2 linked regions of the Notamacropus eugenii genome follow. The protein of the gene in region 2 interacts with the protein of the main gene of each other region in a biochemical or structural test. Links are inferred from orthologs where the notes say so. Each region holds a gene or a part of one and is shown on either strand. Other genes may lie near its edges.

Evidence for each region.
Region 1: of the proteins of STAT1 (region 2) and PRKCD, one has a biochemical effect on the other in vitro, tested with the Homo sapiens proteins (2 studies listed by BioGRID). The link is inferred for Notamacropus eugenii from reciprocal best matches to the Homo sapiens genes STAT1 and PRKCD.

The regions. Positions count from the first base shown.
Region 1 is NC_092872.1:941,536-957,679, forward strand, and holds the start of PRKCD (protein kinase C delta type), read right to left. Parts: upstream 8,873-16,144; 5' UTR 8,069-8,872; intron 3,029-8,068; 5' UTR 2,903-3,028; intron 1-2,902.
Region 2 is NC_092876.1:258,467,127-258,483,270, reverse strand, and holds the start of STAT1 (signal transducer and activator of transcription 1-alpha/beta), read left to right. Parts: upstream 1-8,293; 5' UTR 8,294-8,524; intron 8,525-13,227; 5' UTR 13,228-13,228; coding exon 13,229-13,356; intron 13,357-15,024; coding exon 15,025-15,169; intron 15,170-15,993; coding exon 15,994-16,092; intron 16,093-16,144. UniProt on the Homo sapiens protein: Signal transducer and transcription activator that mediates cellular responses to interferons (IFNs), cytokine KITLG/SCF and other cytokines and other growth factors.

The sequences.
Region 1 (16,144 bases), on a different chromosome or scaffold from region 2:
GGAAGTGGGGCAGGGCTGAACCCCTCCCCCCAAGCCTTAGGCCTTGGAGAGCCACACCCCTTCTCCTCCTTTCCCCCTTGCCCATCCCCCAGCTGCCTGAATCACCAGAATGAGACTTTCCAGTGAGGAGCTCCCTGTCTGGCTCTCTGGGCCAATGAACTGTAACCAGCTTGACATCCCTTCTTATGAAGGTCCTGTTCTCCTGCTACAAGCCTAAGCATTCCCAAACTCTCTAAGATTCGCCATTGTCCCTCCCTACATTGACCTCCCAGCTTGGGGTCCAGATTCAGGGCAAGTCAATTCAGCCCCTGGGCTGCAGATCCCCAGACTGCTTTTCTGGTTTTACCTTGGTGGGGTGTACCAATGGTCAACAGGGGAAGGGAGGAGAAAGAAAGGAATAGGGGAAGAAGGAATGAGGGGAGAGGGAGAGAAGAATGATGGGAGAGGAGGGAGGGAGGGGAAAGCACCCTGTAAACTTCTTTCTGATGAAGATAAAGGTGTTAACACTGTCCTAGTTTGAGAGACAGGATGTAGTGACAGGGGTGTCAGTTGAAGTATTTAGTATTTTGGGAAAATTGTAGTTGAAAGAGCACACAGCACTAGGATCTGGTGGCCTGCCACTCATTGACTGTGTGATCTCAAGAGACACGATTGTTCTGGGAGTCAGTTTCTCCATCTGTAAAATGAGAGGGTTAGACTAGAATGATCTCTCAGGTCCCTCTCAGCTCTGCTAATCTGTGAATCTGTGAAAAAGCTTTAATGTATGTGACAGCTTTTTGTTTCATTCTCTGTGTTCTTTCCACAGAAGAAGGAGTGAGATTATGCTAAATTAGACTGTGGGTAGAAGGCCCAAAGCCCACCCACAGAACAGAGCTTCTGGACTGGCAGAAAGTGAGCCAGGGATAGAGTCGAGTCCAAAGCGCTCAGGTAGGCTTATCTCAAATCAGTACTGGGTGTTCTGGGACAGCAGATGTCCTTCTCTTTGGCCTGGAGGGGCAGAGGAAGGGCTCCAGGCCAAGAAAGAAACATGGGGCCAAGCATGGTAAGGGGGATAGAGGGGGGTTGCTTCACCCAGCCAGCTCTGAATGGTTTTCTTAGATAGCACTCTTGTGTGTTTGTGTACGTGTACAACCTTACCCTTGACAGCTCTGTTACAAATCTTCTTCCTTGTGCCAAACACCCAGAAAAGAAGGGAAGAAAGGGCCAGGTGACAGAAGTGGGGACCACGAAGTGGAGAGCTTACTGACAAAGTTTCCAGTTGAGTAGGAAGGAGAATCTGAGAGAAGAGCAAACCTCTCTAGGTAATACTAGGGAAGGGATCGAGGCCCCAGAAAGTTGACATGACTAACAAAGGCCCCACTTTAAGCTGCCCTCCACACCAAGCATCCCCCCCATATGTGGAAGATACATTAAAACCCTTGGGAACTAGGATATAAATGCATCCCCAAATCTAGAGAGATGATATTAGGGAAAGGAGAGATGGGAACAAGACAGAACTAGTCCAGGAAGACTTCCTGGAAGAAAGAGAACTGGGGCAGTTCCAGGCAAAACTGCAGAGTAGCAAGTGTAGAAATTCTGATCTCCTTGTCCCTATCTTTCTGCTCTTCTCGAACCCCCTGCTCATGAAATGTTCCATAGATTGGGCCATAGCTTAATGGAATGTCTTCCCTAAAGGGATTAGCAAAAGGTCCTGCAGACAGTAGGTGCTTAATAAATGTTTGTTAAATGAGTGAATGCAAGCTTCTGACAAATTCATCCATTCTGAGCTTTTAGCAATATGATATGCCACTCTTAGGATTAAACTAAATTAGCATTTCCCCAAAGCATCCTGGAAAGGGTAATGCTGAATCCACAGAAACTGGTAATCGATGAATTGGTCACGGTAAATGGATGAAATGGTAATGGCAGAATTCATAGCAATGGTGATAGGCTGGTGGAGGAAGGATATGAGTGTGCCACCCTTCCCATGGTCTCCTTCAAATTGCATTCCACCCCAGCGGCCCCCCTTCCCCACCTCTTTACTTTTGCTCACTCCTCTTATACTGCGGGCCAGCCTAGGGGGTGGGTAACATGACTGACGGGAACAAAACCAGCTAACAAGGCATTCTGACAGTCAGCAGACCAGGGCTGGAGTGCTTCCTTTGGCATTAAGTCACTCTATGGCCTCCAGCAAATAATGTCCCTTCTCTGGGCTTCAAGTTCCTTTTATGTTCAGTGGGAAACTTGGTCTCTGCTTTCTAACTGTAAGTGTCTAATCCTAGGATGATAAGGTTCTAACACTCTATGAGTCTAGCATCCCCCAAAATACAGACCATCCCTCAGATACAGGACTCACCCCCTCCCTCCCCAGCAAAGGGGACCTGCCTAAGGTTCCTTTGCTTACATGGTTAGAGAAGTAGAAACTAGGGGCCACAGAACAGTGATGAATGCAGTGGTCTGCACCGACCAAAGGGTAATATGTCATCTCAACAACACCCTCCTCTTTTTCCTTTTATCCTTCAATCCTCCATCCTTCTCCTCTCTGGTCTACAACCTCCTTCCTCTAAATCAGTGCTTGGAAATCCTGAGGAGCAAGACTAACACATAAATGTACCCCAAATCTGTAGAGATGATATCAGGGAGATACTGGAGCAAGAACCAATCAAAGAAGCCATATATCAAACACAAACTGCCTGAAAGTGACATTAGGAGGACACCAGCCTCCTAAGCCCAGCCAGCCAATTCCACACCCATCCCAGTCCTCAGCCTGAGCTAGCATCCTAGGGTCCGACACTCTCCACAGGCTGGTGACACGGCCTGATTCCCCAGAGGGCTGGTCTTTGACATTAGAGGTGCAGCAAAGAAGAAACAACGAGAGAGCAGAATGGCTCAGGGACTGAGGAGGCCCCTGGATCCTCATTACCTGTCGTTCCTGACTAGGGTCTCACTCTCTGTCCAAGGTCCTTATGTAGCAGGTGATTCTGAGGAATGAGAAAGATTCCCGGACTGATGCTAGGTGAGACCAAAGGGCATCCAATCCCCACCAGACCTGCAGGGCCAAGACAGAAAGAGGGCGGTCACATAACCACTACAGAAATGCCTTCTGAATCTACAAGGAGAGGGACAGAAAGGGAACCAGACTAGGAGCTGGGAGATCAGGGTTTTTTCTAGTCTTTTTTCTGCGGCTGATTTGCTGTGTGACCTTAAGTAAGTCATTTACCTTCACTGTCTCATTTGATACATCTATAAAATGAGGATGGTCAAATTAGATAAAATGATCCCTTTTTTTGGTCATGGTCCCCTTTTACCTTCTAATGAAGCCTATGGACCCCTTAGAATGTTTTAAAATACATAAATTAAAATACATAGGATTACAAAAGAAACAATTCTATTGATGTCTATCTGTCTGTCTAGCTAGCTAGCTAGCTATCTAAAACAAGTTCATAGACCCCAAGTTAAGAACCCCAAAGTTAAGAACCCCAAAAGTTCCCTTTTGATTCTGATGACCATTCTATGGTGCCAAGTCTTTAATAAACACCCGCTAGGACCGCAACCCTATACTAGGCATTAAGGGAGAGACAAAGACATATAAACCAGGATCCTTTCTCTCTAGGAGCTCCAGACAGGCTAGGGAGAGAAGGTGGGGCAGTTAAATGATCCTCACAGCCATCCCCAAAGCCACAGAGACATTTGTTCACCTGTCCCCTTTGCCCTAGTCCAAAAGGCCACAGACCCAATCCCAGGGGCACAGCTGTATTCACTGGCTTAATATTTTTCCTTTTTTTAACTTTAAATTATTTTAACTTTTAATTTAAATTCTAATTATCTCTTCCTGTTAAATGGTGTCAGTGCCCTGCAGCCATAGCCCAGAATAGTCTACTCTCCATCTTTCAGGGCTTAGTAACCCAATGTGCAGATTACCTAGAGATCTAGTTTCCCTTCCTGGGGTTAACTTCCCTTCATCATTCTCTTAGTAAGCCAAGCAAAGAGATTCTGGGAGCATGGATTTAGAGCTAGAAAGGGTTATAGTCCAATTATCTAGATTTGAGGCCAGAATAGATAACTTTCCCCAGGTTACTCAGGTAGTAAAGTGGAGGGCTGGAATTTGAACCAAAATCCTGGGACCAGTGCCCTTTCCACCATATCATGCTGGCTCCGGTCTACATCGCCCTTGGGGCCTAGGGTAAGAGACGCAAGAAGAAAGGAGGACAGGAATCTCAGACAAAAACCAAGACCAGAAGCAAATCTTGATATAGATTATTTTATGTGTCTGGTTTTCCCTGTCTTCTATATGCCTTGCCCCTATCTCCTTATTGCCACTCACATCACAGCCATCCTAGGCAGGTCCTCATTACTTCTTTCCTTGACTATCTCAAGAGCCTATCTATTGGTCCCCCTGTCTCCAGTCTTCTCCCTCCCCCACCTCTATTCCCTCCTCCACACAGCTGTCAAATTGGAATTCCCAAAGTGCAAATTGGACCATGTGACTTCCCTGCTCCAGATGTCTTATTGGTTCCCTATTGCCCCAAATGGTGAAATCCAAACTCCTCTCTTTGGTTTTTCAGTCCCGTCACAATCCAGCTCCAACTTACCTTTCCAGGCTGACTTCACCCTGCTCCTCTCAAAGGCTTTTTTCCAGCCAAACTGGCTTTCTGTTTGTTCACCTAACTCGTAACACTCCATCCTCCACCTTGATGCCTTTGCACAGGCTGTTCCTAAAGCCTGGAATGTACTGGCCCCTCATCCTTGAAATTGCTAGCTCCTTTCAAGGTCAAACTCCAAAGATGCCTCCTACCAGAGGACTCTCCCTATCCCTTGGGTCAGCTGAGGTCTTCCCCAGGCCCCAGGAAATGACTGTATTTATTTATCTGTGTAGAAGTTTCCTCCCTATAGAGTCTAACTAAGTTCATCAAGGGCAAAGACTGCTTTGTTTTTCAATTTTGACTATCCTCAGACCATGGGTAGAACCTAGAAAATTGTGGCAGGGTTAGTCCAGGCCTGCAATTTCATAGGCATGTTGAAAGTCCTTTTTATTAATGCAGATCCCAGGCAATAAGCATTAAGCAGCTACTATGGGTGAGGCACCATGATGAATGATAGGTATATAAAGAAAAGTAAAAGGCAGCCCTTACCCTCAAAGGGAGAGCTAGGTGGCATAGTGGATAGAGCACAGAGCCTAGAGTCAGGAGCACTAAGTTCAAATACGGCTCAGACATTACTAGCTGTGTGGCCCTGGGCAAGGGCACTTAGACCTGTTAGCCTCAGGTTTCTTGTTTGTAAAAATGAGCTGGAGAAGGAAATGGAAACCATTCCAATATCTTTGCCAGGAAAAACCCAAATGGGGTCACAAAAAATCGAACACACTGATCAACAACAACCCTTGAAAAGCTCACAATCTAATAAGAGAGACGACATGCAAGCAAATATATAGAAAAACACTATATACAGGAGAGATAGGAAATAATCAACAGAGGGGAGGTTCTATAATGAAGAGGGAGCAGGAAAGATTTCCAGTAAAAGGTGGGATTGTAGGTGGGCCTTGAAGGAAGCCAGTGGATGGCAGATGAGAAGAGGCAAGATGTCTATAGAGCCCTCCTGAATCTGAGGCCACCTCTCTTTCCCCTACACTATGTTTAATGCTCACTGAACTGTGTGAGTGATCCTCAGAGGCTAATCCAAACCTTTCTTAATCCTTCCCTCCAAGACAGGTCAGAGGCCAGAGGTAGCACACTGAAATCTCCACCAGAGAAGCCACTTTCTCCAAGCATTGTGATCACACAGGAACGCATGGGTTAATGCACATACATGTACACACAGTGTCATTGTTCCACACACACTCACTCCCAGAATAAAGCAGAGTCACACTCTCTCAGAGAGTGAGTATCATACACTAATACAGCAGGCATTCGCAGAGTCATGCACACACACACACAAGCAGACATACCCACGCAGTAACAGTCACTCAATCACGCACAGTCACAGTCACATTCACTGCCTCCCACACATTCGCCCTCTGCTGGCCTGTCAGTAGGCACTCTGGTTCAAACTATGTCTACCACAAGGAAGCCCAAGTGACCTGGGTCTCCACCTCTCAGTGACCTGGTCACAGCTGGCTACAGCATGTCTGAGGAGATGCTGGGGGGAAAAAAGAAACCATACTCCCATACACACACACATACACACACACACACACAGTCAGGTGGATATACGTATAATTTCACCATGTAGTGTCTGCACAGATAAACTGCCCCCATATCTAAACCCCCAGCAGGATTCACAGACACAGGAGACAGACACAGACAGAGGGAAGTCAGAATCACATTGGACACAAGGAATTGGGGCACAAAGAGATGGGACAGGGAACAGGCACAGAGACATGTAGGACAAACAGAGTGACAGTATTCACACAGCAACAGAAAGAACAGATGCAGAAAAATGCAGACTACCTAGAGGTAGATGGAGACACATAAAGAGATTTTACAGGAAGGACCCTCTCCCCAAAAAAAATCCACTTGGATGGTAGTGAGAAACTCCCTTGCCATAACTTTTTCTCAAAAAAGTCTCTCCTGCCAGTCAGGGGAGAAAGCCACGGGAGGGAGGGAGGATGTGGAGGTGAAGGGAAAAGACGGTCAGAGGATGGACTCTTTTTCTCCACTCTTTTTCTCCACTACCCACCAAACCTTAGAAATTCAAGGGGTGGATGACTTCTGTGTGTCCGAGTAGATGGGTTCATTCTCTAAACCCTTCCCAAACACGCAGGCCACTCATCAAATCAAGAAGTGTCCAGGGTTCCCTTCCAGAGGTTCCCTCTCATCTGGCATAGGATGAGCTTCAGATCTACTGGTCCAGCTGAGATGGGGGAGAGAGTACAACTGTCCCTTAAAGTTCAGGAAAGGTGATGACAGGAAGATGGGAGACAGGGACAGAGAAAGACAGAGTCTAGGGCACAGAAAGGAGAAAGAAATGAATGAAGGAAAAAAGAGACCCCAGAGGCAAGAGGATAAGGGATGTAAAAGCAGGTAGTCAGCCAAATTAAGGCTCTTCTCTCCCTTTGTCCTGATGGGAAAAGGAGTCAGAAATAAGATAGGGAGGACATTATGTAGCTGGAAGGAGGGCAGAAGTAGAAGTGCTAGGATGGAAGGGACATCAGAGGAAGGGTGGGAACACAAAAGAGAGGGCAGAGAAAGGAAGAGAAGCCAGAGGGGATAAGGGACAGAGTGGTAGGCGGGACAAGACAAGACCAAGCAATAAATGAAAAGACGTGGCAGGAGAAACACCAGGAATGGTTGACGATGAATGAGAAGGGGAATAAGTGGATGTGGGGATGACAGAAGGAGGCCAATGGATGTGGGCTGATGGATAGAAGTAAGTGGAAAGAGGATTACAGACAAGATGACAACGAATGAGGGGCATCAAAATACTGGGATGATGGAACGGGGATATTGGGTAGGGTGAATAGGGATGGTGCTTTTGGGGGACAATGATGGGGGAGATGAATGTGGGGTACAATAAATGAGGGGATTATGGACGAGAAGATACGCATGGAAGATGACAAACGGGGGTGGAGAGTGGGAAATGCCCCATGAAGCAGTTCCCCTGGAGACAGACAGAGAGACAGAGACAGAGACAGAGAGACAGAGAGAGACAGAGAAAGAGAGAGACGGGGAGAGAGACGGAGAGACGAGGAGGGGGAGATAGAGAGAGACAGAGAGAGAGACAGAGACAGAGAGACAGAGAGAGACAGAGAAAGAGAGAGACGGGGAGAGAGACGGAGAGACGAGGAGGGGGAGAGACAGAGAGACAGAGAGAGAGAGTGTTCCTCAGTCAAGTGACAGAGACAGAAGGAGAGGTGCCGAGGAGACCCGACCACGGGAAAGGACGGTCACTGGGAAGGCAAGGCAGCGGCGGCCATCGGCCACGGGGTGGTCGGCTTGGGGCAGTTTCAGAAGGGACACGAAACTCCCCAAGTCCAGAGCCGGGAGGCTGGTAGCCCGGACTGCCCTGGAAAGACCCGAGTTCGTCTCCCAAGCCCAGGTCCGAGGGGTGAGGGGTTCTCGGCCCCTCTCCCGGTTCTCTCCCACCTCCTCACCTTCCGTAGCCAACAAAGGGGGTGCCTCTGCTGGGTGAGGGGTCTCTCCAGGCCCGGCAGCCTTCCTCGTCTGAGAGCGGTCTCTCCCGGTCACCGCGGTGGGAGGGGGCCCCTCACGATCTGGGTCTAGGAGGAGGGGGTGGACGAGGGTCGGGGTGCAGAGCCTCTCCTCCTAGTTCCGGGGACAGGATGATCTGTCTCTGGGTTCCAGGGGAGTCTCGCAGCCCCCAGGCTCTCGGCGCTCGGTGGGGCGGGGACCGAGAGGGCGAAGTCTCCGGCTCTCCGCCTTGGGGTGCGCCTCGGCGCTCTGGGAGGGGGGCGGGAATCTCTCGGTCCTCCGCAGGTCGGGGGCGTCCGCCCGTGGGTGTCTGGGGAGGGGGCAATCGCTGGGTCCCCAGGGGGACTTGGCCCAGTCGCCGGAGGCCCCTCAGCCCCGGGAGCTGGGGGGAGCCGAGAACTTCGGGGTCCTGGGGTCTCTCCGCCCCAGCAGGGGGGGATCACTCCGTCCGGGTCTCCGGGGGGACCCAGGGGTGGCAGGCTATCTTCGGCTCCGGGGCTGGGGGGAGAGGGACGAGGGACTGGGTCCCTCGGGTGGTGAAGGGTTAGGGCGCAGGATCGCTCTGCGCTGGGGCCGGGAGCTCCTCTCCGGCTCGGTTCCGGGCCGACTCCGCCGCTCCGGGGGCCTCCGGCTCCGGGTACAGTCACACAAGGAAGTGCGGAGCGAGGGGCGGGGCGGCCCAGACCTCACCCAGGTGCTGGGAACCCCGGCGGCCCGCCCAGTTCCGCCCAGAGCCTCCCGGGGCCGCCTCCGAGGCGCCCCGCCCTCTTTCTCCCGCTCCTCGGCCCAGGTCTCCCTCCCTGCCTCTGCGGCCGCCCCGCCCCTCCAGGCAGGGCTTCGTACTTTGTGTGTCTTGTAGAAGTGCGAGTGTGTGTGTGTGTGTGTGTGTGTGTGTGTGTGTGTGTGAAGGGTGTGAGTGTGAGTGCGTGTGTGTAAAGGGTGTGTGTGTGATGGGGGGGTGTGTGTGATGGGGGGGTGTGAGTGTGTGTGAAGGGTGTGTGTGACTGTGTGTGAAGGGTATGAGTGCGTGTGTGTGTGATGGGGGTGTGTGTGCGTGTGTGATGAGTGTGTGTGAAGGGTGTGAGTGCGTGTGTGTGATGGGAGTGTGTGTGCGTGTGTGATGAGTGTGTGTGACTGTGTGTGAAGGGTGTGAGTGCGTGTGTGTGTGATGGGGGTGTGTGTGCGTGTGTGATGAGTGTGTGTGAAGGGTGTGAGTGCGTGTGTGTGATGGGAGTGTGTGTGCGTGTGTGATGAGTGTGTGTGACTGTGTGTGAAGGGTGTGAGTGCGTGTGTGTGATGGGGGTGTGTGTGCGTGTGTGATGAGTGTGTGTGAGTGTGTGTGAAGGGTGTGAGTGCGTGTGTGTGTGATGGGGGTGTGTGTGCGTGTGTGACTGTGTGTGAAGGGTGTGAGTGCGTGTGTGTGTGATGGGGGTGTGTGTGCGTGTGTGATGAGTGTGTGTGAAGGGTGTGAGTGCGTGTGTGTGTGATGGGGGGGTGTGTGCGTGTGTGATGAGTGTGTGTGACTGTGTGTGAAGGGTGTGAGTGCGTGTGTGTGAAGGGTGTGTGTGACTGTGTGTGAAGGGTGTGAGTGCGTGTGTGTGAGATGGGGGTGTGTGAGTGTGTGTGTGAAGGGTGTGAGTGCGTGTGTGTAAAGGGTGTGTGTGTGATGGGGGTGTGTGAGTGTGTGAAGGGTGTGTGTGACTGTGTGTGTATGATGGGGGGTGTGATGGGGGGGGTGTATGATGGGGGCTGTGAGGGTGTGAAGGGTGTGTGTGTGATGTGCGTGTGTGTGCGTGTGTGATGAGTGTGTGTGAGTGTGTGTGAAGGGTGTGTGTGACTGTGTGTGTGGGAATGTGATGGGTGTGTGTGAATGTGTGATGAGTGTGTGTGCGAGTGTGTGGGTATGTGTGAAGGGTAGAGAGTATCTAGCTTCTCCGAGAATGAGGATGAATCCTCTGTCAGGAATTCTTCTGAGTTTCCCTCCTCCTTTCCTTGTATCAATCCGCAGTCTCTGTGTGTCTCTAAGTCCATCCTCACCGGTTCCCCTCCATGTTTTGGTTTCTGTCACTGTCTTTCTAGCTGTGTGTGTGTTTCCCTTTATATCTGTCTTCTTTGCCCCTTCTTTTTTCCAATGGCTATCTCTGTCCCGTTTTCAGATCATAGCACCATACATCTGTGAGGGACCTTAAAGACCTTTCTCCCCGTCTTTCTTTTTCTTTGAATATGCTTATCTCTGTGCCATCTCTCTTCCGTTGGTCTCTTCTACCTTCTCCCCTCGTACCCCCACCCCAGTCTCTCTGTGACTGTCTTACTAATCATTTTCTCTGTCTCTGTCTGTCTGTCTGTCTCTCTGTGTCTCTGTCTCTGTGTCTCTGTCTCTGTCTGTCTGTCTGTCTCTCTCTCTCTCTCTCTCTCTCTCTCTCTCTCTCTCTATCTATCTTTCTATCTCTCTCTCTCTGTCTTTTTCTCCCCATTCCCTGTCCCCACACACCAGCTTGGTGAGGGACAATTTATTCCCATCCACTTGAAGATGGTCTCACCTCAATTTTGAGAATACAGGGAGGGAATGAAGGGGAATCACAGTTTTCTGCTCACTGTTCCTCTCTCCTCCTGGCTGCCAAAAGATTCCTGAATCCACCATCTAGGTCTCAGAGATAAGTACTCCAGTCTTCTCGGTGTGCTCGTCCCTCCCCCCATCCCACAACCCCAAACAGAATTCAGACTTAATTATGGTGATTCTGGGAGGGGACATGGAGACCAGAAGGGTGGAGATTTTATCCTAATTTTGTGGGGGGAGAGGTTTTGTCCATTCTTCAAATCCCACCTCCTCCATGAATGATGAATCCATTCCACCGTGAACTGAGAATTACAAAGTCATGGAATGTTAGAACTGGAAGGAACCTTGGAGAGCAGCCCAATTATTTTACAAATGAGAAAACTCAGACTCAGAGAGAGGAAGTGACATGACCAAGGACTCTTCTCCCTGAGCTTTCACAATACTTTGCTATTTTACTTTCTTGCATCTCCCTGAGTGCCTATGTTGAGGAGCTAGACATGCAGTAAGTATTCAGTAAATCTGCTTATGTTCAATTGATTGACTGCACTGAAAGTAAGGGAAGGCACAATGCTCAAAGAATGGTGGCATCCTGTGGGCAGGCGTATCCAAGCCCATGTTTAGGTCACTGGACCATCTTGGGGCTGAAGATTAGCGACGTGTCAAGAAGGTTGAGGAAGGGCCAGGTATTATCCCAATTGTTTTGGGGGGTGGAGATGGGCATGGGGAACAGAACACCACCTTGACATGTAGTCATAAGCCTCTAGGGCCAATCTGCCTCAGACAGGGAAGGACAGAAACCTGGGGATGGAAGGAAATACCTACTCTGAGTCAATCAGATCAACCCTGAGTAGGTTAGGCTGTGCAGGGGCTCAGGCCTCTAGGAAAGGGACCTCAAGGCAGGGTTTTCCCCCAGTTTCTCCTCCCCTTGTTCCCTTTACCCAAGTCACAGGACTCTTGCCATTGAAGAGAAAAGCATGGCTGGATAACTTTGAGGGTAATAGTGCTTGTCCCAGGGCACCTATGACTCCTCTAGGAAAAGTTCTGGAATCTGACCTTTCCTAGGGATTGGGCTAGCCTGGAACCTCAAGGTCCCTCCCAGCTTCTCTCTCCTTTCTTTTTCTTTTTCTTTTTCATTTTCTCTTTTCTTTTTCATCTCTTTTGTAGGAATGCGCTCTGGCTTCCTCACTTCCCTTCAGCTTTCTCCTAGCAACTGCAGCTTTACATCTCAGCAAGAGTTTACAGGTAATAGGACACCTTCCCACTTCATTCATACCCCCTCCCCCATTCCCACCCCACCTTGAACATCTCTGCTCCATGTGCAAGGAAAACAGCTCTGACCTGAACTGTGTGAAATTTTTTAAGTGGCCCAATCTGGGGCTAGGGTTTCTTTGACTGCAACTTTTCAATTGGTCAATAGCTTGTATGGGATGTAGATCCCATAGGTCATTCCCAACGAAATAATCCATTGAGAAATGGGGTGACTTGATATTTCAGCCTCCTTTGTCCATGGAGACTTTTAATATGAATCAATGACTTATTTTTTTTTCCCAGGATCTCTGTCCTTGGTAGAGATCAAGAAGATTCCAGAGAGGACTCTCCCAAGGTGAAGTAGAGGACTGCACAGGATGACTTTTATAGCCATTTGACATCACTGGTCTAATAGTCAGATCATGTGAGTCTGGGTTAAATGTCTTCGTGTCTCAGTTTTCTTGTCTGTACAGCGAGGGCAATAATACTTGCCTTGCAAATTCCCTAGAGCTGTTGTGAGGAAAGCCCTCTAGAAATGGGAGCTTTTTATTTAAATCACTGCCATTGTCCTCATCAACATTCTCAACCAATTTTTACTGAGCTAACCAATATTTGCAGAAATAAATAAAACCCATTCTCTACCATCAAGAATCTTAAAAGCTATGGCGGACAACACAACCTACATTAAAAGATAGCTTGTGCTGCTAGGAACTCTATGGCAAGGATCAAAGGAGAGTTACAGCCAATAAGTACATCAGTAGCTGGGAGGAGGAAGAGCTCACTGAGAGCTGGTTGGGGCTGATGAGGGAAGGCTTCATGAAGGAAGGTGAGTCATAAGTGGAAGCCTTGAAGGACAGGTAAAACTTAGATGGGGGGGTGGTGTTAGAAGAACAGCATGGAGCTGTTGAAGAAACTAGATATCTTTGTTTCCCTGGAGGAAACTTGAGGGGACACGATAACAATCCAAGTATCCCAAGATCTCTCATAGGGGAGGGATATCTGACTCATTCTGCTTGGCCCCAGAGTAAATCTGGGAGTAATGATTAGAAGTGGCAGAGAGGCAGATTTGAAGTCATTGTAAAGGAAAAATGAAAAACTAAAACCAAACCTTACAATAAGAGCTACACATGAGCAGAACCAGCTACCTTGGGAGGTCGAAGGTTCCCTGTCTCACTAAAAGCCTGCAAAGAGAGGCCTGATAACCACTTGTCAAGGATGTTCTACAGGGGGAGTCAGGAAAATCTGAATTCAAATCCTGCCTTAGACACTTACTAGCTATGTAACTCTGAGTAGGTCACTTCCCTCAGCCCTGATTTCTTCATCTGTAAAATGAAGGGATCCCCTTCCTAGGATTCCTGTTCAGGCATAGATTGGCCTAGATGACCTCTGAGGGCCCCCAAACATTTTGTGATTCTTTGGAGGGAGGCCACTAGCAACTCTTCTCTGGACAGAGGACTCCTATTCACTACATCTTCCCCTTGGAGGTTGGGGGTGGGGAGTTGGAAGATAAGGGAAGGATGGGCTAGAAGAAGCACCTTGAAGAGGAAAGGGTTTGGATTTGGAGGGAGGATGGCTCCTAACTCTGCTACTTACAACCTGTGCAATGATGGTCAAATCACGATGCCCCAAGTTCCTCATCTATAAAATGGGGATAGAAATATCTACCTTCAGAGGGTAACCGCGGGGATCAAATGAGATCATAGGATCATAGATTTAGATGTGGAAGGGATCTTAGAGTCCAACCCCATCATTTTACAGATGTGGAAACTGAGGTCCAAAGAGTTTAAGTAACTGATCCAAGGTCACGTAGACAGTAAGTAGCAGAGCTGAGATTCAAACCCAGGTCCTTTGACTCCAACCATTCTCTGCCCAATCACCTCCATTCCCATGCATTCCCCACCCCTAGTGTACCACTACCACCAAAGTCCTGGACTAAGACAGGGTCAAGATGTGAGACAAAGGAAATGAAGAAGACAGCAGCCCCAGGCCGATGGGGCAGGTAGAACAACTCCTATTACCAGTCCAACAAGGATCAGCATTGATCCTTCAACTCTACACCTCTTCCTCCTTGTCCAGGTGCTGAGCTGGACATATAAAAGATGTGAAAATCTTCATGCAGTTCAGCTTTCCACTTCAGAGCCAGAGAGCCAAGTGAATCCTGGGATAGTCCTCCCAAGTCAGTCTTGATTGGCTCCAAGATGGAGCTGGCAACGTCAATCTTTCCTTATTTCTAGGTTTCTTTCTGTTCTTCATCTTTGTCTCTGTTTCTGGCTCTGTTCCTGTCCCAGTCTCTGTCTCTGTCCCTGTCTCTGACTTTTTCCATTCCTGTCCCTATGTCCAACTGTCTGTTTTTCACTATGTGTCTGTCTTTCTGTCCCCATCCCTGTAGCACTTGGGGAAGAAGGATGGTCAAGGATGAGATGGCTAATGCACCAGGGCTGGGATGTTCCCAGAACCTGTGCCAAGATGATAATGTTTGGGCCAGAGGAATCAGTGACAGGACCATAATGAAGACAGTCTGTCAACTCTGAGGAGGGGCCTCTGTGAAGAAAGGGATTATCTGGTGTGAGACCCAGACTGAATCCCCAACGAGAGAAGAAGATTGCTGCTGAATCCAACACTGGGAGGAGAAGCTGATATTTTGTATAACGAAATGATGTCTCATATTTGACCCTAAGCCAACCTGAGAGTAATCGCCCCAGACATAATACTGAGACTAAAGATGGGTGCTTGGGAGGTGTAAGGGGAGAGGCCTTGACTGACAGATAAATAAAATAAAACAAGTTACTCAAGGCCACATAACTCAAAGCTATTCCAAAAGAGGCATCTGGACACAGAATCGGGTCAGTGTCTGCAGACACTGATTGTAGTACGGTCTCTGCTGCTAGTGTATTGTGTGACCAAGGGAAGGTTTTCTTAGTGCTCTGGGCCTCAGTTCCCCATCTGTTAAAAGAGAAGGTCCAACTGGAACATCTCTTCAGGGTCCCTCCTAAATCTTATCTTCTATGACTCAATGAACGAACAAGAAAGACAGGGTGGCCACTTGGAGGAGGATTTCCTAATGGTGGAGGTTTGGGACCTTCCCAGGAAAGCTCTTAGCTTAAGATTTTCCTTATACTGCCAACCCCCAACCTGGGTTTCTTCATCCACTTTGTATGTTTCTTGTATATACCTATAAATGTACACATTGCCTCTCACTATTGAGAGAAAACTCTTTAAGGTCAGAGAAGGCCTACTCTTTGACTCTCACCTCCCCCCCCAAACAGTGCCTGGCACATAGTGGGTCCTTAATAAATGCTTTTTGATTGATTGTCCGGCCCAAAGGTCATATACAGATCCTTCCCCACTTTGGACCCTAGCCCATTTGCTTCCTTCTAACCTTGAATTTCTGAAAACCTCTGTGCTTCCCTCCCAAGAACAAAAAGTTTGATGAGGGTAAGGAAGGCTATTTGTGGACAGGGCTGTTCACTGGGGCTTCTCGTGTATCAGAAAATGATCCTTCACTGACACACAGCTGCCCAAGCATTATCTCTCTTTGGCCCAGGACTGACTCCTGGGTTCCTTCGTCCCTCACCTAGTAGTTATGCCAGGGACAAAGGTCTCTCATTCGAAAAGGAGCTGGGGATCTCCAGGGCGGATTCTGACATAGTTACCAGTCCTGCCCTCTCCCCTTCCCTCCACAAACCCGCTCTGGTCCTGATGACTCACTGCTGAACCAGGCCAGACTCCAGAGTGATTTCACAGTAGCAGAAACACCCATTTCTCTTTCACCCGACTTTCACCCAACCCTCCAGCTGCTGCTACCCCTTTCTGCTCTCCCATCCCCTCCTATCTGCTTCTGTCATGGCATCTCCCCTTCACCCTCCTGTCACTGTCACTGTCTCTGCCCGTCCCAGTCCTGCCCTCTGGTCCCCTAAAGATAGGCAGACTTACTTTCAGATTCACAGAACAAAGAATTCTGGAGCCAGAAGGGAACTTAGATGATTTTATCTGCTTATAAGAGGACGGTGGAAAGGTCACTGGACTTCTGCCAGTTGGGTCACTTTGGACACGTCACATCTTTCATTTTCCTCATCTAAGAAATAAGGGCAATAATGTTTGCACTAGTCACTTTAAGAAAACTGCTCAGTAAACTGTTATGTGGATTTAAGTGACGATGGACAGAACAGTGATGGTGGCGAGGAAGAAGTAACAGATCACAAATCTTGATCTC
Region 2 (16,144 bases):
TGTAAATTGAATCATATTTTCTATCCTCTTACATCATAATTCTTGAGCTAAACAGTTTCAAGAAATTGAACTGATTATGATTGATTCTGACACATATCACAGGGATTGGCTATTCTTCTGGAAACTTCCCATCCTTTTGGACATTCTTGAGTCTGACTATGTAGAAAAGACAACCTAAAACTGTTGCTATACAAATGGCCTACATCAATCTGTTTATGAAAGAAAGGTCAGAAATGACTAACACATTACAAATGTCTAACAAAAACTTGAAGAGACTGTGTGCCTTGGTTCCATTACAAGGGTGTATGAATGATCCAAATCTCTCCAGGAACTTATTTCTATGATTCCAGTGACCTTCCCAGTCACCATTAAACAATCTATTCTGTGTCCCCAAACAAATGACTATGGAATTGTTGTAAGATGGTAGTGAACTCAGGGCAATTAACCTCAAGAGCTCAATTCTAATAAAAGTTTCAGATACACTGGTAAAGTCGACAACTATGACCAAAGTTTTGGGGAAAGTCAACAGGATGAAAGTTGCATGCAGGAGGGAGGAAAGAGAGGAATCAGGGATGAAAAAGTTTCCTCTTCGTTAAAATGGGGGTAATAATAGCACCTCCTTCCACAGGGTTGTTTATGAGGATTGACTACTAAAGAGAAAAATGTCAAGTGTTATGCAACCCTTAATGCATTATATGTTAACCATAAAAAGGCTAACATAACATATAGTTAGCCTAGATAGTATAGTACATGGTACAGTGAATAATAAAATAAGAGTTAATATTTATATAGCACTTAGTATGTGTAAGGTGGGCAAGTAGGTGGAGCAGCAGATAGTGCCCAGTCCCAAGTCAGGAAGATGAGTTCAAATCCAGTCTCAGACTGCACTAGCGGATGACCCTGGGTATATCACTTAATCCTGTTTTCTTCAGTTTTCTCATCTAAAAAATGAGTTGGAAAAGGAAATGGCAAGTCACTCCTGTACCTTTGACAAGAAAATCCCAAATGGGATCAGGAAGAGTTGGACAGGACTCTAGCATGGCTAAATGGTTTTATAATTATCTCACTAGCTCTTCACAATAACCCTGGGAGGTAGGTGTTATTATTATCATATAGAAGGCAAAACTGAAGTAAACAGAGGTCAAATGACTTTCCCAGTGTCACAGAACTAGGAAGCCTCTAAGGTAAGGTTTGAACTCAGTTCTAACACACTTCAATGGCAGTGCTCTGTCCACTGGGCCACGTAGCTGCCTAAAACCGTCACTGAGCAGACTCTTAATCCTGTGGTCTGAGGGAGTTCAAACCCAGACTTAGATACTTAGCGATCCAGTGACTCTGGGCACCCTCCGTTTCCTCATTTGTAAAAAAGGGGATAATGCTAAACTACCTCTAAGTAACGGGGATTATGAGGATTAAATGAGATAGCACGTCTAAAGAGCCTGGCAAACGTTAAACAATCCAAATGCTAACTATGGTTACTAAGGAAACCAAAAATGCCCAAGAGCAAGAATCACCGAGAAAACGCCTGTTCTTTTCTCTATGAAGCCCCCGCTCACCACCCAGCTCCCGACTTCTGCTTGCCCCCTGCCCCCCTCCATCCCAGCTCCTGCCATCGAGCAGCCTGGGACCCTTTGCTGCGGCCAGGCAGTCCGCCTACGAGCAGTGACACGCGCCAAGGCGGTCCTGCGGCTGGCTGGGGCCAGACACTAAGCGGCGGAGCCTAAGGGATGGAAAACCCCGGCCCCGAGCTGCTCACGCGCACTGCTCCCGTCCGAGGCTAACTTTCGCTTTCCGCTCAATCCACAGTCTTCTCGTTCCCTGGGCTTTTCTTCGAAACCACGTGATGGTGGCTGTTCCGAGCACCGCGCACCCTCCTGCCAAGGTCAGCGTCAATGTTGCCCCTAGGCGAGCCAGGAAACCGCAGCTTTTTTACTATTTAACCTTCGTGCCAATTGATTGTTGGAGGAGAATTGTTTCCTTTCATACCGTGTAACTGATCCTTTAAAGTGAAACATACTAGGAGGAAGATAAAATGTATCACAAATATCCTCGCGTTTGTATCACTAGGCCCATCGGGTCTGCTGAAGACGAGAAGCCGGAACAACGCAGGAATTGGAATTTAGTGTAATGAATGAATGGATAGAGCGTAAAATTTGGAGCCAGTAAAGCCTTCAGTTCAAATCCTGCCCCATCAAACACGTGCCAGCTGTGTACCCTGGGCAAATTACTTAACATCTGTTTGCCTCAGTTTCCTCAACTGTAAAATGGGGATAAACCTATCTCCCAGAGTTGTAATGAGGCTCGAATGGAGATAATAATTGTAAAGTGTTTAGCACAGTTCATGGCAGATAGTGTAAGCTATATATAAATATTAGCTATTATATTATTTATTCCAGCTCTAAAGTAAACTAGTAAGAAAAAAGGGATGGATTTGCAGTCAACGTATACGAATTAGAATCCCACTACTGTGACTGTTGCTGTAAGGCGATTCACTTCATCTCACTGAGAATTAATCTTCCCACCTGAAAAATGAGAATAATGCCGCATAGGAATTGTTTGTGAGACAAGTATTTTGTAAGCTACAGAATCGAAGCATTGCAAAGGACTTCATAGGAAATTTAACCAACAGTGCTTTATGTGTGAGTTATTATCAAAGTCCTCCTATATGTGAATTATGATTGAAGTCCTCCTGTTCAACAACAGGATAGAACAGATGTGACCACATAGTAATTGGTGTGACAAAGATTGAGCATGCATCAACAGCGTGATCTCATTACCAGAAAAGGTGTTTTAACCTTAGATGACATTAACAAATATATGGTATCCAAAACAAAAACAATGAAAGCTCATCTATACTCTGCCCTGGTTCAGACCATATTTGGAATGTTTTGTCCTATTCGGGATACCACATTTTGAGAAGGCCAATGATAAGTTGGAGTGAATCCAAGGGTTGGCAGCCAGGAAGATTAGAAGGTATGAAATGATGTCATGAGGAATGGATGAAAGAACTGGGGATGTTAAGCCTGAAAAAGAGAGTGCTTTGGGAAGTATGCTATCTATCTTTATATATTTGAAGATGTCATATATAAGGGGTATGAGGTTTGTTCCACAGAGTTCCAGAAGGCAGATCTAGAACCCATAGTTAGGAGTCATAGTGAGACCAATTTCTATTAAATATAAGGAAGAAATTTCTAGTCACTAGAATTGTCCGGCATGGAATGGGGTGCTTTGCAAAGTTTGCAAGCCAGAAAAGAAAATCAGTTGCCTTGTTTCCTAGTCACAGTCATTTTTTTTTTCACCAAAAGGTAGCCATCTTAATAATAATAATAATAATAACTAACATTTGTCTGGCACTTTAAGGTCTGCAGAGCACTTTCTTGTGAGCCTTACAACTCTGTGAGGTAAATGAAATTATTATCCTCATTTTCAGATGGAGGAAAGAAAGGCAAAAAAGAGCTTAAATGACTTGTCCAGTCATATAGGTATAAGTGGCTGGTACAGGCCTCCAAGATCTGTCCACTTCTCTATCTCACTGCATATTGATCTTATTTATCAGACCAAATGAATCTTGGCTATTTCAAAAGCAAAAATCCCTCAAAGGACAAAGATTTCCCATTCAGCAGGACAATGTTAAAATGAGCAAACAATTGTCAAAGAGGAGTTGCAAAAATATTTTGAGCAACTCAAGCATGATTGGAATAAGAGTACAGCCTCCAAAATAACTATTTTGAGGAGATAATACTTATTTGATTGTAACAGTTTTGTTACCAAATATTTAAATTGATCCGTAATCTCAACAATTTAGGAGTTCTCTCCAGCAAAGCCTTCTTTTCCATTCTATGGGACTTTAGTCCACAACTTTTTAAAAGTTCATTATGAAGGGTCCACTCAATGTGCTAGCTGCCTTTTTTGCTTTCTCCTGACATTTCAGTGGAACATTCTGGTTATCCGTCTGTCATCCCTTGCTCTTGACCTACTCATCCCTTCCTTTCATTCAATTCCATCTTTTACTTCTGTTCTTCACACTCTATTTATATTATATATAATTATAATAACAAATTAAGATAAATAATGAATATATTATAATAAAGCATAATAAGTAATTATATGTAAAGATTGTATATAATCTCTACATTGCCCTCTTATTTCTAATTCCTCAGAGGCATGTGAGTTCTGTAACTTACTCTCATATAGCAATAACTATGGATTGTTAGTATTTAAAAGATGGACCTTTGCTTTTATGACAAGTTTAGGATGGTAAAAGGGCTTTGCAATTTCCTGAAAATAATCAGACAACCTCTCCTATTCATAACTGATCCCAACTCTTTGTTTATCTCTACTATTTGTCCCAGATACATGCTGTTAGAAAAGCTCTGTAGGGTAGAGTGTCCATTCAAATGCATATTGAAATCTGTGCCATAAATATTTTTCATCTTTTAAAAAGTCATATTACTTCATAATCTTATTTACATATGTTATGGTTCTTCTCCAGTAGATTATAATCTGTGGGGAAAATAGTACACAGTTTTAAAAGGCAATACAAAGCAACATATTCAGCTCCTGTAATTTCTCCATTACAGTTCAGACTCTAGGTCAAGGAGGAAGAAAAATGCACTCTTAGCACCTGGGATCAATGCTCCAATATGTGTGGTAAAGAAGTAAGAGCAATTAGTGTTCAGAAAAAGGAGAGAACACCTCCAGTCAGGGAAGCGGTCTGCAAAAGACGAGATGAGGTTTGAAAGAGGTCTTGAAGGATCTATATTGGAACAATTAGTGGTTCTGGACCCTGATGGCTTCCCAGAGCAAACAATTCCCACTGGGATAATCAGCCTGGAGTACCCTCAAATCAGCTTTCTAATTCTGTGAAAATAGTATATTAGAACTAATCCTAAAAATTCATTGATATAGAGAACTTGCAAGTGAAGAAATGTCTTCAGTTTATAGTCTGTCTCCTTAGAGGAGTGAATGGTTAAATAACTTGCCTAAAGTCAGAGGTAGGATTTTACATATCAGAGGTAGGATTTATACCCAGGTCTTTCTAGCTTCAGGGCCAGCTCTTTATCCACTACACCACACTGTGTCTTAGCAGCATTAAAGTAGTATAAGAAATTAAGCTAAATTCAGTAGCCTGAGATGGAGAATTATAGAACCTCAGAGTTTGAAGGGATCTTGGTGGTAGTCCAACCCAACCCACAGGATGTGGGTTCCTATACTAGAGAAGCATTCATGTGACTCCTTTCTTTTAAAAAAAAATTAATATTTAATTTTTCTCTCCAAATACATGTAAAAACAATTTTAACTTTTTTTTCAAATGTTTAGTTCCAAATTTTCACCTTCCCTCCACTCCCCCTCCCCTATTGAGAAGGCAGTTTGACTTAAGTTATTCATGTATAGTCATGCAAAACACATTTCCATGTAACTCATGCTGTGAAAGAAAACACAGGGGAAAAAAACAAAATAAAGTAAAGGAAAAGCATCTTCAATCTGCATTCAGGCTCCTCCAGGTCCTTTTCTGGAAATGGACAGCATCTTTCATTATAAGTTCTTCAGAATTGTCTTGGATTGTTGTATTGCTGAGTTTGACTCTTTTCTACACAGTGTTTGGGCATCAGGATTATTCCCCTTACTAGAGGGAAATGTTAATATATGCAGAAGGATGACAGGATACAGGTTAGTCCTCCTAGGAAAGATAGAGAGAAAGGAAAACCTTAGGGAAAGGAGAAGTGAGGCAGACTTGGAGAATTTTCTACTGGATGGGGTCTGGGTGGAGAGAAGAGACAATGCAGCAAATGGGCTTCAGTTTGCTGTTCTAACATCTTCCCAAACCAAACATCATTTTCTCCATTCATTTACCAGAATCTTTGCCTTAGGGCAAAACCCAAAATGGCCCTATTAGCTTTGGTTTTGAAGGAACATAGGATTTCTATAGATGAGGAAGGAGAGAGAATATTTCATTGTAAAGGAATAATTTGAGTGAAGTATGGAAGTAATATTGTGCAAAATGGATTCGAGAGAACATGAGTAGACAGTAGGCTGGGTCAGGGATTGTCTATAGGGAAAGGTTATTGTTTATTCATTCACCATTTACTCAGTGATTCAATCATTCTTTTAACAAATATGTGTTGAATGCCTAGGCAAAGCATTGTATACAGGTCCTGGGGGGAAATACAAAGAATAGAAAAAGTCCTTCCTCTAACGGAGCTCACATCACAGAGTCATAGAAACCAGCTGGCACAACTCATACTTAAACAGAAATCCCTCTGCCACATTCCCAACAAATGGTTATCTAGCCTTCACTCCAGAGTAAAAGCAAGTCCAGTAACTGTGAGAGTCGCTCATTCCACTTTTGGATGGCTCCCAAATTTTTAGGAATATTTTCCTTACAATAAGCCTAAACCTGCCTAACTTTCTGTCCTTTGCTCCTAGTTCTGCTCTCTGAAGTCAAACAGAACAAGCGCAATCAGTCTTCCAAAAGACTTCTCAAATGCTGAAGACGCATATCATTTTCCATTCCTACCCATCATGGCATGAGCTTGAGGCACTTCACCATCTTGGTTACTCTCCTCTAGACACTCTCCAGCTTTTCAATGCCTTTCCAAAAATGTGATGCCAAGAGTGAGATAAATGTGGCCTGAGACAGGTAAAATACAGCTGAATTTTTACCTCCTGAGTCCTGGACACTATTCAGTAAGAAGATATTAGCTGTCTTGGCTACTGCATTACGTTGTTGACTCACGTTGATATTCTAGACCACCAGAACTTGCAGATCTTTTTCAAAGGAATTGCCATATAAAAAATTTTAAAGATGAGAGAACAAGTACAGAGAAGGAAAAGTGAATTGCCCAAGGTCACAAAAGGAATTAATAAATGGTAGAGCTCAGATTTTAATCTGAATACTCTGACCCCAGATCCTCTGCTCACTATACTATACTATACTACACTACACTACACTACACTACACTACACTACACTACACTACACTACACTACACTACACTATACTACTGCTTCTAGTCAGTGGATAGAGCACTGGGCCAGGAGTCAGAAATCTCTGTGTTCAAATTTGACCTGAACCACTAGACTTGCCCGGGACAAGTCACTTAACCTCTCTTCCTCAGTTTTTCCAACTGTAAAATAGGTGTACTACTGATAGCACTTATCTCACAGGATTACACATAGCAAGCAATTAATAGATTCTTGTTCCTTCCCTTCCACAGCCCACTCCCATGGCACTGTGAATCATAAATGCAGGCACAATGCAGGGATGGTTGCAGCCAGACCATTCTATTCATATTTATGCAATCTAATGCCACTACCAAACACTGAAACTCCAATCAATATCTTACAAAAGTTTGCACTGCATGGGGGTCCCAACTGTCTTTGCAAGAACATTGATCTAACGTCATACCATTCCGTGCCCACTGTGGGTCCACTGTCCCCACCTGTATCACTGCAGATGCTTTGGTTTTAGTTTAAGTCCATGATTATGGACTTATAGTCAGGAAGAAGGAGATTCACATTCTGCTTTTGACACGCTGTAGCTCTGTGATTTGGCGTCTCTCCGTGCCTCGATTTCCTTTCATTTATAAAATACATTTTAATAAAAACATGTACCTTTCAGGGATGTTGTGAGGATCAAGCAAGATAAATTCAGAAAAATATCACATTTTGTCTTGTATAATGTACAGAAAGCATTATTATACTTTGATAAAAAGTGCTATCTAATGTGAGTATTATTATTACTGAGGATTAGGGTCTTTGCTCCCCACACTTTCTTACATATAACACCCTGGAAAGGAAAGATAGATTGTTTCTTCTTGCATGGCAGTTATGAAGGATGCTGCAGTTTGGAGGTTTGGCACTAAGAGAGAGAGTGAGAGTTCAACAAATATCTGTCAAACACCCAGTACTGTGTAAAAGGAGTCATGCTATGTTCTGGGGATATATTAGTTTATACATCCTGATCCTACTCGCATGATTTAGATTATTTACTAATAGAGATGATTTGGCACATCTTTTTGCTGCTAGCCACTGAAATGTAACTTCGGAGGTTTCATTTTCAACTGCAGACGAAACTTGTTAGATATGCCCCAGATTATGCTACAGGTTTGCTTTAAGATTAGCAAAGCGAGACCCGGAAGACGGAAGGCAAAGTGAAGACCGTGCCCACATCTGAGAAAGGTACTTGAAAGGGAACAGGAATTAGATGCAGAGAGCTAGATTGCGGAGGGGAGTTGGGGCCAGGGAAGGAACAGCCTTTTTTGATTGGCCTGACGAGAATGAGCCTGCTCCATGATTGGTCAGGAAGTGGAAAGTGAAACTCGAACGGGTTATTAGCTAATTGCGTTTTCTCTGTCCAGTTAGTTTTGCTCTGCTGCAGGCCGACCCTAGGAAACAGCTGAACCTGAAAACAAACGAGCCCCGACAGCCCCCAGGAAAGCTTTCTAGAATCAAGCCTGATCAAGCGAGTGACAGCTGACGTCCAGCCTGCTCTGTGCTACCCCCGCTTCTCGGCTCCGCAGAAGGTGGGTACTTGGGAGGAGCTTGGACCAGACGGTTGTGGAACTGATGGGAAAGATGCGTCTTTACTTTGCGTGGGGAATCCGGGATCAATCAGTATTTGCAGAACACTGGCTAAAATAATCGGGGGGCGCGGGGCAATCAGGACACTTGGGAAGGAGGGATTCCCTCAGCTCCATCCTTTATCCAGAGAGAAGGGATATCTACGTACTTTTCCCAAATGGAGACAAGTTACTTCTCTCCAACTGAGCTCGTCTATAAAAAGACGATTGGATCAGATGGTGTCAAAGATCATTTCCAGCTTTAAAGTTTTGGGATGTCTAGGTAATTAGCTACGTAGGGCTAACAGAACACATAAAACATCTGAGGAGGGAGAAAAGAAAAAAACACTAGCAAATGGGAAGAATCTCTTAGGAAAGGCAACAGCTGAGCTGCTCCTTAATGGAAAATAGGGTAGTGGAAAATTGGAGGAGCTGGATTCTAACCCCCGTTGTGTTAATTCTGTTACCTTTGGCAAAGTATTTGAGGCAGGGGTTCTTAACCTTTTTTGTTTCATTGACCTCTTTTTTATGCTTATGCACCCCATCCCAGAGTAATTTTTAAATGCATAAATAAAATACATAGATGTAAATATAAATAAATAGAATACAAATGAAATCAATTATATTGAAAGAGTTATCACTGTGTTTTAAAAACACATGCAAATTGATGGACCTGGGGTTAGGAACCCCTAAATTTTAAACTATCTGAAGAATGCAGTACATAATATATGACCTGATTGTCCTACTTTAAGCAGAGTTAGAATTTTAGAGCTAGAAGGGACCTTAGAGATCATTTCATCCAAGTTTTTTTTTTCATTTTATATTTGAAAGGAACTGAATAGACCCATTATCTTTATCTGCAATCTCATTCAACCAGTTTCCTAAGTTTGAAATTTTGGTGTTAACTTTGACTCTTCCCTTTTTTTCAGTTCACATATCCATTAAGTTGCTAAATTCCCTTAATTCTATCTCTGTATCTTTCATTCAATCCTCCCTGCTACCAGACTAATTGTCCTCATCATAGAGTCATAATTCTTCTAGCCAGAAATTTTTATTTGTTCACTGTCATTTAGATCTAAAGTTCATTTTCCTTATCCTGATATTCAAGGCCTTTCACAATTTGATGCCCCCCTGTATTTCCAGTCTTTATGTCCCTACATGTGCTCTTTTTCCTCAGCTAAACTAGATTGTTCCCCAAACCACCCTTATACCTTTCCAATCACAGAATTTCCTCTGTGTACATTATCTTCCCCCATTAAATTTATCTTAATCCCCCTTTTAATGTCTAATTCAGATGCTACCTCCTTTGAGACACTGCTTTCTGTGTCCCTAGGTCATTAATGATCTTACTTATCATGGATTGTAAATAATACTTTGTGCTTTTTTAAAAATTTTGGATACCACATTTCTTTTGCAGTTGTGTTTGGAATCATAAACTCCATGGGGATTGTAATCCCCATGAAGTCAGGGATTGTTTCTTATCTAAACTTTCTATCTCCCCAAGCATCTATCACAGTGATCTATAAACAATAAATACAAAAAATTTCAGTTGAATGTTGGATCATCTCTCAAGATTTACTCAGATGCATCTGAGTAGCAAATTATGCTGCAGTTAATTTCTAGTGTTTGATATGCTGCAAATGAGCAATTGCTATTGGAATTTGCTAAAAAAAATTATTTTGTCTTCAGCATTTCTTGTATATCTGTGTGTGTGCATGCATGTGTGTGTTTACAATCATAGTTTGTATTGTAAAGAACCTTGGATATTTTCATGTTTGAATTAAAGAAACTAAACCCATGGGAATGAAGTAATTTTCCTAAAATCAAGCAGGGACAGAAATGGTTTAGAAACCAGGTTTAATGACTCTCATTTCAGCCCTTTTATTTCTAATTTTTACCATACCAAGTGCTACTGTGATGATGACAGAGTAGAAGATAGAAGAGGCTAAGACAGTTTATAGATTGTCTATAGAAATTCACTCCATTGTAGGCTCTGTCAATATAATATCCTTTCCTAGGAACCAGTAAGTGAACCTGCTATTAGAGTAACCAAATCATAGCCATTTGGACATTCTTACTGTAAATAAAGCCAGAAGACAACATTGCATCTCAATGGAAGGTTTGTCTGTAGAGTATCCTTGGAGAAAAAATGATGCAGCTGATAGAGTTGGTTTTATCATGCATCGAAAGGCAACAAGAAACGTCATTTCATGAGATTCTTGGTTAGCTGTTTGGTAGGCTCTTGGTTTGTTTGTTTATTTTGTGGTGTTCATGAATAGCATGATAAGTATGCGAATAACTGAACCTTATGATCCATCATCTGTTACAGAGGATGGGGAAGTAAAGAAATGCTGTTAAGAGCTTAAGAAGATCCCATCCCCTCCAATGAAATCAACATATACTTTAAAACTCAGTTACTTCAGTATCCATGTCTAGAGTGTTTGTGAAATATGATAGAAAACATAGTGTAAGAATAAGAAATCAAAGTGATCAGAATAGTGTAGACAATACTGAAACCACCTTCTTTTATGTAGTGAATGCTACATGGGGACAGGCAATGAACATGAGCACCAAGTAACATCATAAAAAATGAAATGAGTTATATTTTAACAAACAAAAGATGACTGGTTACTGACATAGCAGTCATTTCTGAATCAGTTGTCTATGTAGTCAAACTTGTTAGAACAAGATCAAGATAAGTATCAAAATAGAAAAATAAAAATGAGACATAGGACTAAGGTAGATTCAATGTGACCTATTTAAATAAGCTATTAGCATAACAATGGGAAATAGATAAAAAAGCCAACATTAATGTAGGCTAGTATTATTTCTTAGAGAAATACAATCAGTGTAAGTCCATAGCATAGAAAGTGCCTCTGCCAGTCAACACTTGATTTTGTCAAATGAAGAGATATTGCAGAAAAGGGCACCAACCATTTAAAGCATCCATTTATTTGCAAGAGCTTACTTGAGGAAAGTACGGTAGAAAAATATGAGCTGTATCGTTGCATAAAAAACATTGAGAAGTCATAACAGGAAGAAAAAGTTTAAAGAAAGTTTGGTGAGAGACCCAACTAAGCAAAATCATCCTAAAGAAATTAAGAGGTTAAGCTGTAAGACTGAAAAATATATAGCTGAAAATTTTAAAGTCATAGTTCCTGATGTGCTACTCAGGGAAGGAGAAATGGCCCTGAAAAAATTTAGGATGGGAAGAGGAGTTCAACTTGACTTAGTAAACTTAGAAAGAATATACTGGAGATAAAGGCAGTGAGAGATTGATTCTCAAGGAAACTGAAAGTAGGGAGGATTATAAAGGCTTAGGAAAAAATCTCAAACCTTACTACTCCAAAGGGCAACCAAAAGAACATTAATAATTACTAATACATATTCTCACTTTCTTATGTCTGTACCATTTTTTATGAAGATAGGGTACATGTGCATTGAGATCATCCCCAGGTGTATAATAATTGAAAAAGCAGGCTTCTAAAATGATATTTTAGAGCAGCCACATGGTTGACTAAAAGGTATAGCAGATACAGTATTCTACTGCACATATTATTTGTTAACAATAGAAAAAAGTTATTTGATTTTGGAGAACAAAATGCTACTTTAAAGGTTTTCCTCCAGAAAGTTGATTTCCATAAGACTTCAGAATCATATAAGATTCCCTGAAAGAAGTAACAACAGAGAAAAATTTTGTTCAACAGTTCTGATACATCCAAGTCAAAGAAGGATTCTTTATAGATAGCGAGATTCTTCAGATGATTCTGTTTGTGGATGATAATGGACTGATTGCAACAAGCCCATAATATTGTGGATCCTACTAAATGAGATCCATATTGATTTAGCAGATTTCAGCCTAAACATCCACAGAGAGAATACCAAATGGATTAAGAACAAAATTTTAGAAGATCCAATATCTAGCACTGAAAACCTAATAGTAAGCACAAATCTAATTCTTCACTTTGCTAAGCTCAGCAGCTATTTGTTGCTGATGTGCTAAAAGCCCCAAAGGATATAGATGACAGCAAATTTGGTGGTAGATGGAAAAATGCATTTACTTTCCTTTTCCTATTATTAGGAAAGGAAAATAACTTAAAAGGCAAGCACTTTCTCTTTACTTTAGCAAAATATGTTGTATGAGATCGGTCTGCAGTTTTTTGACAAATAAAGATCCCACAGATGTTAAAACTTTTGCTATTGAGCTCTTGGATTTTGAAATTCATTAATGCATTTTGTTCTTACATCCTAATCACTTTCCAGTAATGTGTCTACTATTTCACTCCTTTCAGACCCTATGACAGAACTATCTGATACAGTGACTATGACAGAATGTTCTATGACTATAACATTCCACAGTTATAATCTATGACTTTAACTGAGAGAAGGATAAAGCGTTTTGGTATTAGTCATCTGGAACCAATATTGATCACTGCATTTTATCTGATTTTTGTTGTCTTTTAAGGTTATTTTCATTTGCATTATGGTTGCCATTGTGTATATTGTTCTTCTGACTTCGCTTTTTTTTAGAAAAAAAACAGTCTTCCCATGTTTCCCCAGATTCCTCATATTTACTTTGAACTACTCTTCTTAATACCCAGTTTTTTCTCTTTGTCTGTGGAACACTATGATCTTTAATTTGTTGTATATTTCTTCTTCACTTATAGGATGTCCCAGTGGAGTGACCTACAAGGACTTGACTCCAAATTCTTAGAGCAAGTGCATCAACTTTATGATGACAGTTTTCCTATGGAAATTAGACAGTATTTGGCACCTTGGCTGGAAAAGCAAGACTGGTAAGGAAACCCCTTGGACATAGTAAAAACTTCTGTCTGCAAGTTGTGGGTGTGACAATGATTTATTGATTTAGTTAAAATTATATTGACAAAGGACATACTCACATGTTCACAAAAGTGTTTTAAGGCACATAAAACTCTTCTATATAAAACTCATAACAACTCTCTGAGGAAAATAGTACAAGATTATTATAGATTTTTTTTTATTGATGAGGAAACTAAGGTTCAGAGGTGAAATTATTTTTTCAGGATTAAATGGATTTTAGAGGAGAACCCTAACTTTGAATCCAGTGCTCTTTATATCACAACACATTGTATCTCTTAAATGGATCATTTATGAGTCGATTCATTCTTTCCTTCAGGAGTTATTGGCTGAGTGCATCTAATGTACTGTGAAGGATACAATGAAAAATGGTTCAATCTCAGGTCTCAAAGCTCTTAGAGAGAGAGATAAGGCAGGCAATACAAATAATCATCATAGAAGATAAGATATGAAAAATGTAATAGGAGAGGTGCAAAGGTAATTCATAGTGGGGAAGAGATCACTTCCAGTTGAACAATCAAGGAGACGGCCTCAGATATTGCACCTTGAAGGATGGGCAGGAATTACATAAATATAGCTAGACCTAGAAGGACGTCCAGAGAGAAAAGCAGGAACAAAAGCATTGGGGTAAAAAATCAAAGTCTATTGCTACTAATATCCTGAATTTTATAATGATTTGTGCTAAGTCCAAACAACTTGGATAAAGGTATAGATGGCATACCCATCAAATTTTCAGGTGACACAAAGCAGGTAGGTGACAGAATTAACATCCCCAAAAGATCATGGCAAGCTTGAGAATTGGAGTAAATCTAATAAGATAAAATTCAGTAGGAATAAATGTAAAGTCATGCACCTGGGTTCAAGAAATCAATCTCACAAGTACAAGGTGATGGAGACATGGCAAGGTAGCAGTTAATCTGAAGAAAGGTTTAAGGGCTTTGTTGACTATGTGTGACATGCCAGCCAAGAAGCCACTCTTGGGCTTAGTGATCTTAGACTTCATTAAGAAGAGGATCAATAGATGAGAGTCTCCTTGTACTCTTCCATAGTAAGACCACATCTGAAATAGTGTGTTCATTTATGGGTACTATAGTTTAGGAATAGTATTGATTAATTGGAGAGCACACAGAGAAAGGCAATGAGGATGATGAAGGGCCCTGAGTCCATGTCATATGATGATTAGTTGAAGGAACTCAAGGTGTTTAGCCTGGAGAAGAGCTTTAGGAAGACGTGATAACTGTGCTGAAGGATTGTTACATGGAAAAGGAACTGTTCTATTTGGTTTCAGTAGCAAAACCTAAATCAACTGATGAAATTTGCAAGAAGTAAATTTAGACTTGATATAAGAGAAAGCTTCCTAACATTTATAGCTATTCAGAAGTGAATGGGGCTGTTTATTGTTCTGTGACATTTGGATTCTGTCACAGGGCTACACTTGAAGACCTAGAGTGCCCCATCCCTGGTCTGGATCAAGACCCAGGGAATAAGTGGCAAAGTTGGAATTTGATTCCGGGTCCTCTGACTCCAAATCCAGCATCCTTTCCGATGTATCATGCAGGTGGACTTTCATATATGCTACTTTAATATTATTTGGAATTAGTAATTGTCTGTTTTGAATCTCCCAGGGAGCATGCGGCCATTGATGTCTCCTTTGCCACAGTATGTTTTCATGAACTTCTGTCTCAGTTGGATGAACACTATAGCCGCTTCTCTCTGCAGAACAATTTTTTGCTGCAACACAATATAAGGAAAAGCAAACGTAATCTTCAGGTATGTTTTAATCTTTGTTGGAAATGTTGCCATGTTGTCACCTGGAAGTTCTCAAAGATTATGTGATATTAATTTACCTATAGCTCCCATTTAAAATTCATTATACAGAAATTTGAAATTTACAATATGAGTAAAGGGAAGCAATCAATTCATTTCATAAAAACTTTTAGCTTCACACATAACATAAACCATGTATTTTATATCAACACCTTTCAGAGAAACACAGTATAGTGCAATGAAAATAATGCTGAATTTGGAGTCAAGGGACTTGGAGGTTCAAATCTTAGTTCAAACCCATTGCCTTTAGGCAAGTCACTTCCTCTATCTTGGTCTCAATTTCCTGATTTGGAAAATTTAAGAGTTGGATTAGATGATCTCTAAGACCTCTTCAAGCTCTAAATCAATAATCTTATGAAATCTACGATATAGTTATGAATATCTTATGAATATGTTAATCTTGTGAAATACTATACAAATTTACATAAATGGATTAGGAAAACTAGGAACTGAAGGTGTTATAGAAACAGACTTTTCAGGTATGTGAGGTATAGAAATCATGTAGTCCTGCATGCAAAAATGATAAACGATGTATGAAAATATTTTGAGTATTTTTAGTCAAGGGGAATATGTTACTTGTAGTAAGGAAAGATAAAGAAATGTTCTGATATAATTAATGAGAGAGAACTGATAGAAATGGCTAATTTCTAGCTTATACAAATGATGATAAATGAGTACAAGTACACCTCAAGAATAGGAAATGTTTTCCCAATTTCAGTGACAATTTATTTTAATTTTTAATTTTGCTTTTCATGCCATACACCTAGGATAATTTTCAGGAAGATCCAATACAAATGTCTATGATCATCTCTAATTGTCTGAAGGAAGAAAGGAGAATTCTAGCAGCTGCCCACCAATTTGAACAGGTACTTTTGGTCCTACCAGAACATGTGTGAAGAATCACCTTAAAAAAATTGG